Drosophila melanogaster: one gene and its partner. The protein of the gene in region 2 interacts with the protein of the main gene of each other region in a pairwise test. Each region holds a gene or a part of one and is shown on either strand. Other genes may lie near its edges.

Region 1 (5,045 bases), on a different chromosome or scaffold from region 2:
ACCGAACCATAAAGTTCATAGAGATCTACAAGGAACACCCGTGCCTTTGGAATCCCGCTCACAGCGACTACAAGGAACCCAAGAAATGCAAAGAAGCCCTGAAGCGTATGGCCATTGACTTGGAGGCAACTGTATCCGTATTCCTGAACGAGATGGCCTTAAAGCTGGCCATCAAGAAAGTCCACATGCAGTTCAACACCGTGCACAAGCGGGTGGTGTCTGGAAAACAGAAACCTCAATCGCTGGCTTTCAGTATATACAAATTGTGTTGCTTCTTGAACGCTAGCAACGATGAAGAAGGGGCTACGAATAACGAAAAAATTAAGGCAAGATATTTGAATTAATTCAAATTGAAATTGTTAACAAGCATACTTTGCCCGCAGCTTGATTTCTCCAAGAAAAACAAGCTGACTACCGACCTGATAGAGATGTACGCAAACTTTCCGCAGCTATACGACTCCAACCACAAGGAGTTCTCCAATATGAGCTCTCGAAAACAGGCATACGAGAGCATGGCTGCGGAAATCTCAGTGCCCAATGTGGACATCAACAGCGATGACATATTCCGCGCCATCCAGAATCTCCGCCAATGGTACTACAAGAACACTAAGCATGCCATTTATGCCGGAAGTACAGCCGAGAAGTTCTACCTAGAGGTGTGTCGGTTCATGCCTGCAAAGATGTACAAGCAGCGGCTGGTCTGCGAATTTTGCCACCAGATTACGTCCTCGGATCATGTCCTGCAGTCGCACATCTTCAAGGCGCACAACATCGGCGAGCTGCCCTTCAAATGCACCTTGTGCGACCGAAGTTTTGTGGGACGTTGCGAGCTGGCTAATCACATACAGCGGGTCCATATCGGCAAGACCCACAAGTGCACCCATTGTGAGCGTTCATTCGCTGTGATGTCGGACCTGCAGCTGCACATCCGTACGCACACTGGCCACAAGCCTTACGTCTGCGAGCATTGCGGCAAGGCCTTCCGACTGCGGTCCCAAATGACGCTCCACGTCACGGCTATTCACACGAAGATCAGAGCCTTCAAGTGCACCATGTGTCCCAAAGACTTTGTGAAAAAGGTCGACTTATCGGATCACATCAAGGGCCATTTAAACATCCGCGACAAAATCTGCAGTGTGTGCGGTAAGGGATTCACCAGCTGCCATGCACTCATCCGACACCGGCAGATTCACTCCGAGGTGAAGAAGTTTGTGTGCAAACTCTGCGACTCCAGGTTCTCCCAGTTTGTGGGTCTTAATACGCACATGAAGCGCACCCACAACATTCTTCGTAATAATTCACAAAAGGGTAAAGATGCTGTGGATGCAGAGAACTGAATTTGATTAAATTTGCAATAAAATGACAGTTTATAAATAGGCAATCTTTTGCAAATGGGGGGAAATAAAAATACACAAATGAGAGTGAAACAATATGTTTAAACAAATTTATTTATATAACGGTTTAAGAATGTATATTAATAATTAAGAATATAAATTCTACATTATCTGGCCATGTCCATCTGTCGAAATCTGGGGATGTACATCTAAAAGCCTAAACACATTCCCCTGCCTACGCTGCGCTATTTTTTCCAAAATGTTGGCACGCCCACAAGGCGCCGACAACTGTAACGCCCATACATTTGAAAAACGTTTTGGTGTTTTCCTGTTCATATTTGTCTCGCTATTTTCTATCGATATGACAAAAAAAATATAATTTCTCAACAAATAAGCTTGATTGATTTTGATTTTTCCAAATGGTTAGTACTAGAATTTTATAACATTTTTTTTCGAAAATTGAAATGTACTAGTTACTTTAAAGATTCATTCATGAAATGCAGATTTTTAATCATTTTTAAGCACCACCAACAGTTGTTAAAACGTTTTCTTTTAAGCCTTCATAAAATTGTGTTTAAATATTATTTTAAAAATAGATTTTTATCGAATAGTCTATCGATACATAATTATTTCAGTCGTTGTCCAACACAGTCCCAAACGCATAAAAAAATTGTTACCTTAAATAAACGAATATATTTTCAGAAAAGGAACATTTTTCAAGCTGAAGTCAGATCAGAGCGCACAACGTAAGCATGGAGCTGTGCGGCAATGTGATGACCAACTCCAAGTACGAGATGTTCCGGCTGAAATGCCTCTACTGCAGCATAGAGAGCGAGCTGAAGGATTGGGAGCTGTTCATCGTCCATGTGAAATCGGCGCACTACTGCGAAGACGAGGACGTTAGGATTAATGAAATCAAAGAGGATACCGAGGAGCTATACAGCGTCGTTGACGCGGCGGACCCAGCCATCGCCTATGGGCCGGATGAGTTCTTCGAGGTGATCGAAAACAGCAATGGGGTCGATCAATGGATGGAAGCTGATAGCAAGGTAAGACTCTTTCACTCGCTTACCAAGGGTGGTCAAATAAGTGAGCTCTCGTTGACCGCAGGATATCCAGTACGAGGAAGACGCCACCGCTTGGTCTGCAGCTACAAACAATTCCTGGGAGTTCGGTCCAGGCGGCAGCTCTTTGGAACTTCCAGCCGGAAAGGAAGTCACACAAATGGACGAGTCTTCCCAAAATCACATACCCCTAAACACAGACGATGATGATGTTGATTGTAGTGACTTCTTTATGTCTGAGGATGACTTGGCACCTCCTAGAAAACCTGGACGTCCGCCCAGGCGAACAAGACCAGGACAGGTTTTCAAGGTTAGTACGTAGTATATTTCACTTAAGCTGAAATTCATTCCACTTAACGGCGTCATTCAGTTCAAAGTTTCGTTTATTCGGAGCAATCCCCGTGTGCTGCATTTGATCCAAGCGTACAAAGAGCATCCCTGCCTGTGGAACCCTTCCGATGAACACTACCAGGACGAGCCTGCACGAAGCATGGCCTACGAGGCGATAATGGAACGCATGGACCGCAAGGCCAATGTTCTCTTCACCGTGGAAGAACTGAAGAAAACGCTCGAGCAACTGCACGTGCAGTACACGCTGGCTTTGGAGACAAAACAAAGGGGAAAGCTTGTTGGACTTGCAGCGCGTTACTTTGCCAAGTGCGAGTTCCTCAGTGTGGCGCCTGTTGTAACGCCAAGGGAGAACGAGGAGGACAACGACTTGACTGCAATTAAGGTAATAACTAGCCCACTATAATGTAGCTCTTTTCTGACCAAAAATCCTTTTTTCAGCTTAATTTTAAGGAGGAAAACCTGATAACCACCTCATTCATAGAGACCTATGCCAACTATCCCGTGCTGTATAATCAAGCGTTGCCAGACTTTGGCTCAATAGAGATACGTGCAGATGCCTTCAAAAGAATGGCAAAGGAATTCCAGCCAGTGGTGAAGGCCAACGAAACGGACGTTTACATTGCGGTCAACAAGCTGCGCCGTTGGCTTTACGATGCCATTCGTCGCCTCAAATCCAAGGAACTAATTCAGAAGTGCAGCAAGCAAGAGGTTCAGTATCTGCAAATGTGCAGCTTCTTGCCCGCCAAGGGTTCCGAAAGTCAGGTGCTGTACTGTGACTACTGCGATAAACGTTTCCACGGCGACTACAACCTACGGGTGCACATCGTCAAGGCGCACGAGGTGGGCGACCTACCGTACCTCTGCTCGTTCTGCCCGAGGCGCTTCGACCGCCACGTAGACATGGACCGTCACAAGCTGCGTTCCCACTTCGAACGCAAGTTGAAGTGCCAGTACTGCGAAAAATCGTTCGCCGTGGATACCGACCTAAAGGTGCACACACTAATCCACACGGGCGAGCGGCCTCACGTCTGTGACATCTGCGGCAAGACATTCCGGCTCAAGCTACTCCTGGACCACCACGTCAACGGAGTTCACCTGAACATTAGACCCTACAGCTGCAATATGTGCACCAAAACCTTCCGCAAGAAGTTCGAGCTGGCCAACCATATCAAAGGACATCTGAATATCCGTGATAAGAAGTGCGAGTACTGTGATGCTACGTTCTATGACCATTCTTCGCTTTCCAGACATCGCCGCAGCCACAGATCGGAATGAACTCTCGCCTTGAGGGACATTTTTAGAAACTGCTTTATTTTTTGATAACGAGAATCAGTAAGCTTCATTTGATGTAAATCAAGAATAAACTTACGTTAGAGTAGTGATAATAACAAGCGTGTTGTTAAGCACTTACGGCTTTTGTGTATTTGATAAGAACATGTGTATGATAATCATATGCACAAGCTTTTCCTTTTTCATACTTTCCTTTTCAAAATTTGGTTTAAGGAATGTATTATTCATAAAAAAAAGAAGAAGCCGGAAAAATAAGTTCGTTTTAAGATAAATTTGTATAACCGTTACTTGTAGAGGAGATATTAGAATAACATATGATTTTTTGGTTCTGGCTCTAGATCTAGAGCTGGCTTGAGGCTCTCCCGAGTTTTTGTTCAAAAGTCAGAGAGCGGAGAGCTCTAGAGCTAGCAGCTCTATTATTATTATTTTTGATCAAATGACGTGTACAAAATTTTATATATATTCATTTTTAACAATGTATTTATATTTCTTTTATGAAATATATTTTTTTAAATGTATTTTCCTTTTTGCCAAATTTATATTTTTAATTACAATAGTTATAATAACGATTTAAGACTTTATTTAGTTTATTAGCTTAAATAATGATGAAAATAATTTTTATACGGTACAAGATACTGCTCATAGACCCTTGTTGAAGTATGTCGTCAGTGCAATTTTAAATATTTTTAATTATAAGCAAAAATAAATAAGCGGTATTTAATTAATAACAACTCTTCTTAAAAGAATAGTCAAGGCATTAAATTTTAAATAACTCTGTAGTAGATCGTATTGCAACAAGCTTTGACCAAAACTTTAAATATGTATGTATGTACCTTCGTTTCTGAGATCAAAATTGATTTCGAGACGAAAGTTTTCTAGCACAAGTATGCTCATATACACTTTCTCGTTTGTTGTTTTAACACACACAAGGAAGTACATTCTATTTTAAGAAATTTACGCTCTCCATTTTACGCGTGCGGAGTGAGATCAATTTTGGCCGTCACCA
Region 2 (5,036 bases):
ATGAAATTATTCATATAAATTTTTTTTAGGTGGTGCGCGGAGGCGATGGAATGGCTGGTTTCGCCGTCCGCAATCCTGCTGGTGAAGTGGTGAAGCCCTACCAGTGGCAGGCTACTGCGGACTACACGGATCAGGTATCGCCCGGTGGCTACTACTCCGTCTGCATTGACAACCAGTTCTCCCGATTCGCTGGCAAGCTGGTCAACATCTATATCACGGTGGTGAAGTACGATGCATGGGACAAGTACGCCAAGGAGATCGAGCAGCTGCAGCTGAACATGCAAAACTTCACTGTAAGCCAAACTGGTTTTCAGACACACCCAAACATCCATTTACAAATATTCACATTGATCTATTTCTTTAGGCCACCGTTGGCACTGTGGAGCGCAACATCAACGATATGATGGGCTATCAAGCCCACAGTCGTCATCGCGAATCGCGTGATTATGCGTTGCTCCTGGACAACAATGCCTATATTCAAACCTTCTCGATTAGCCAAATTGTGGTCATATTGATCACGTGCTCTGTACAGGCGAGTATAGACATGTTTTTTGCTTTTCCTAAATTAATAACCTAATATTTGCAGGTATTCTTTGTGCGCAAACTATTTGAAGTAAAATCGAGCTCCAAAAGTCGCATCTAAGGCGCAAAGATACTTTTCAAAGACTTCGCAACATGTTTCTAAAATTCCATCCGCATTTCCAAGACATTCATTCTATTCTACCTGCTGAATGAGTTTTTGTAACTTATTTTATCACTGGCTAATTGATCAAGCGCAACTGAGCAGACTTTTTTATAATTGGGACTACTTATGTCATACGAGTTATAGACAGCAAAACTTATTGTGATAAGTGTACATTTGTGTGTTTTGTTTAATTAAAAGATTGAAGATTTTTGTATTTGCTTTGTTTTATTTGGGAAAGAACCTTAAGGATTTATTCGAAGCCATTTGGGTTTGTTAATTTACTAAAAGCTCTACAAGCTTTAAAGTTAAGCTGCTTTGGTAAGCTCACTTAACCGTTAAATTTCATTATCCTGGAAAGGATTTTAAACTTAAAAATATATAATTCAGGTTGTTGTTTTAAGAAACCTGTTTTTCTTTTTATATGGGAGTAAGTTATTTTCAAATTACGACATTGTTGCAAAGACATCTTCTCGTTGCCTAAAACCAATCTTAAATATTAAATACATGCTGTACATGAGCTCATTAGTTTAAATTGAGAGCTGAAGACATTTCGAAGACATTCCACAACTTGGGCTGGCAAATTAATCACCCCGAATGCCGCTTATCGCAAATTATCCTGCCCCATCCATCGCAGGACCTTAAATCATGTCACCAGGCTCACCGCTTATCTAGACGTCATTTAGCACATGTGTGTGTGCTCTGCAGCAGCTGGCATGTTAATTATATCCTTTTTGGCAGGCAGCAGGAGCATCTGGGTATCTTGGCGGGTCTTTTGTGGCCACTGCTGCTCGAAATTAAAATGTTATTATGCGAGGCTTATCTGCGGGCCTTAAAGCCACCGCAAAACTAAGGTCCTAATGGCCTCGCACACCAGCACACGCTCTTTAACTGTTTTAAACGCCATTGTTAAAATATTGCTCATACGCACTTCCGCCCAAAATGGGGTCTTCTCTCTTCGGCAGCACTAATGATGCCCCAAGAACGCGGAGCAAAGGACCCGGCGAAAGGCAGGAGCATCCACAGCCATAGCCACATCCACATCCACATCCCCGATGGCACAGAGTTGGCTCCGCCCACCAGCAGCCGATGACAGCGGCAGATAACAGAGCAGCGGCAAAGTGGGCGGTGGATGGGGTTGTGGTGCGGAGAGCGCGCCTGCGCATTAGCCGCCGCAGAAACGCAGGACGATGGGGTGACACATCCTCGGTGATAGCGCCCAGTTCCCCTGCCACACAGAGCCACCGCTTGTGGGAGGAGTGTGTCGCCATCTTTGAGCGTGGACTGGTGACTGGACGGGATGATCTGGCCGCCACATTAACTTGGAGTGCGCGCTACCAAGTGCAACACGTCGCGGACGACATAATAGCGGTACTTTGCGGTTTAGATTCGTCGGTCACACGTCGTCAATATTCCCGGGACAAGGACCAAACTAGCGAACCTTTCTTGGTCAGCACAAGCGGCAAACGAAGGCACAAAAACCACAAAAAACACAAAGCACACACACGGCACACACTTGTACACTTACACACGGCAAGCAGTGCGGAAAACTTGGACACATACGCCCAGCTTGTTGCTGGCTGTGGGCGTGGCAGCGCACGAAAAAGAAACAGACAAGGACACACACATGTGTCCTGCCAGTGTGTCGCGGAAATTTTTGTGCGGAAATTATAGAAATTTCGCTTTTTGATTTCATTTTCGTTCCGCTTTCGTTGCGAACCTCTCACCCCTCGCCACCCACCACCACCCACCTTTTGTGCACCTGCACCTGTGCGAAAAGACATCGAGAAATGCCCAAGGAGCCCGCTGCCGTCGGTGTCCAGTTGGCTTGGTGGTCGTCGCCGTCATCGTCCTTGCAGTGACAAATTTCCTTGCATATCCGCTCCAGGACTACGAAACTTTGGCTGCAAACAAAACCGTCATTTGCGTGGCGCGTCGCTGTCGCGTTCACTTGTCGCATATCCGTCGCCATTTTGACAATAATTTCATTTCCGGTTGGCAATTTGTACGCACTTGAGTGAGTGATTAACTGCACCGATTCCCAACGATTGTGAAGTGTTTAAGATTACTAAGTTGTAACTTAAGTTGTCCCGACGGAAGTTTAAGAGACAGTCAAAGAGGAGACTTATTTTTGGATAAACTTTATTGCACATACAGGCACAATCCTGAGGTGAGTTATGTTCGAATTATAGAATGATCAACATGATTCAGAACTCCGACGGGGTCCTAAATAACTAATGTATTTTTAAGTGCTTTGTTGAACCAAAGTTGAAGTAAATTAAAGATAATATCGTAACGGTAGAATTTTATTCAAAAATTGAAAACATACTCCTAGGCTTAAATGGGGAAAATCTCCAGCATAAAATGGGGAAAATATTAAATGCATAAAAATATTTGAAATGTACGAATTCAGAATACCAGACATGTTGAAGTCTATTTTAAATCTAAAAATTTATAACCAATGTCAGTAAAGAATAATTACAATAATAAACTTTAATATTTTGATAGAATTTATTTCGAATTTCTAAGATATTTGTAAACTATGATACTTTCTATTCAAACATTCTGATCTGATAAATTAAATCCACTTACATAGAATTTTGAGCGCTTAGATACAGCACCTGTGAACTTAGATGGTTGCTTTTAATTTCTAACTAACGACAGTTATCCAACCCCTAAAAAGCTCACCCCACCATCATCAGATAATTGTGAAGCATATGTTTCTGCTAATCGAATTAGTAGACTTAAAACGGAAGTATTCATAAACCAGAAAAAAAGCACATCAGCAGCATCATTGGGTAAAAGCTTGACAATTAAACAGCAGCACAGTTTCATCAACCAGTCGGCTGTGCAAACATTCAAAAATCCTAATTTCCTAAAATCGCATAAAAATCTTACAAACCATTAAAGAGCAGCCAAACGTGTGGCCTCTTAATTAAAGGATCTCTCGTCCAACAAGGGGATTACACCATTAACAGCTGTCGAAGAGCATAAACTCGGCAATCACAGCGATACCAAGTGGTATTCAAAGGACTCAGCACGCGCTGCAGAACGGGACGAGCATTCAGCCCATCTGCAGACCGACATCCTGGCATCCCGCTCGTATTTCCGGTGTGCGCGCGTTCGCTCAGCGATTGTGATAACTTGGGGAATACAAGGATACCAGAATACAAAAAAAATAAAATGTCTGCCTGCTAATGTTCGCTGGTGAAATTTGCCTACATGCAAACGCAGCCACTCGGCCTGAGTACAAATAATAAATAATAAATGAGGCGTGTGCAGGCCGTTTATAATGTCTGACAAGGCGCAAAGTTGATGATGTTCTGTAGATGCGACCGTTTCGATAACGAAATCTATTTACTCCTCCCGGCAAACTTAAAGCTGCTGGGGTTTCAGTTACAGTTTTCATTTCGGGTATGTTTGGTGTACTTTAAGCCAGAGACAGGACAAGTCGCACTTTGTATGGCATAAATTTCGTTGGCATAAATCAAAATTCAGCAACTTCCGACGAGGGCAGAGTGCAAAAATTTGCATGCCCCCTGTGTGTGCTAACTGCAGACTGGCCGAAAAGGGCCAGTAAACAATGGTTCGCCTTCCCCAGCTTCGACCAGCTGGACATTAGAGAGCCACGCTCAAATGGCCGCCACCCACGCACAGTTCAACGCTCATACGCAACGTTGGCCCAGTGCAAAAAGCGGGACTGTACACACAATAAATAACGAGCCAGATAATTATGCACGTCGTGCTTATATCTAAGGGAACACTAGCTCCACAGCTCCAAAGTAGCCACTATTAATTATGCCAGAACATCGGGGGGGTTTTCGGGTAGCTAGCTTAACGTGTTGGGGCCATGGCAATTAGAGCGATTGTTTGGCCCGAGAGGCATTCTAAAATTGCAGTATTTAATTGTGGACCACGCGCTATGATTTATTAATATCTCGCTCTGCAATTTGCCATGAGGTGAGTGATGGAGTTTACTTGGACTTTAAAGCAATTAAATCTTCTGGTTTGACTACCAATAGAGTACAAGAGTGTATGAATAAATATCTTAAGTTTTAGTAACTTATAAGTACTAAGTATTCATTTATATTCATTTTCGTTTGTAATTTTCGCAGTTTTATAAGTACTATAAAACCAATTTGTTCTATCTATTACTTTCTCCGGCAGAGTCAAGTGGAATCCCTTGTTTAGCCAACAGCCACCCATCGAGGCTCCCCAGGCGTGCGCCATGTACGAGAACTCCTGTTCGTATCAGACGGCGCTGGACCTGAAGAGGGTATCGCCACCGACTCTCGCCCAGGTGAAAACGGAGGAGTGCCTTGCACTCGGACAGTGCTCGCCAGAATGGACCTCG

The links.
Region 1: the proteins of Ets65A (region 2) and CG1603 interact in a two-hybrid assay, tested with the Drosophila melanogaster proteins (one large-scale study listed by BioGRID).

What each region holds. Positions count from the first base shown.
Region 1 is NT_033778.4:7,513,306-7,518,350, reverse strand, and holds CG1603 (uncharacterized protein), read left to right. Parts: upstream 1-1,960; 5' UTR 1,961-2,086; coding exon 2,087-2,383; intron 2,384-2,444; coding exon 2,445-2,708; intron 2,709-2,768; coding exon 2,769-3,131; intron 3,132-3,187; coding exon 3,188-4,024; 3' UTR 4,025-4,505; downstream 4,506-5,045. Other genes in the region: CG1602 (uncharacterized protein), read left to right, coding at 1-326, 384-1,337. UniProt on the Drosophila melanogaster protein: Chromatin-binding protein involved in the organization of active promoters and insulators. Essential for the activity of heterochromatin promoters; primarily binds to specific motifs within promoters of housekeeping genes.
Region 2 is NT_037436.4:6,095,620-6,100,655, forward strand, and holds the start of Ets65A (Ets at 65A), read left to right. Parts: upstream 1-1,997; 5' UTR 1,998-2,852; intron 2,853-4,849; 5' UTR 4,850-4,910; coding exon 4,911-5,036. Other genes in the region: loj (logjam), read left to right, coding at 30-293, 365-532, 587-643.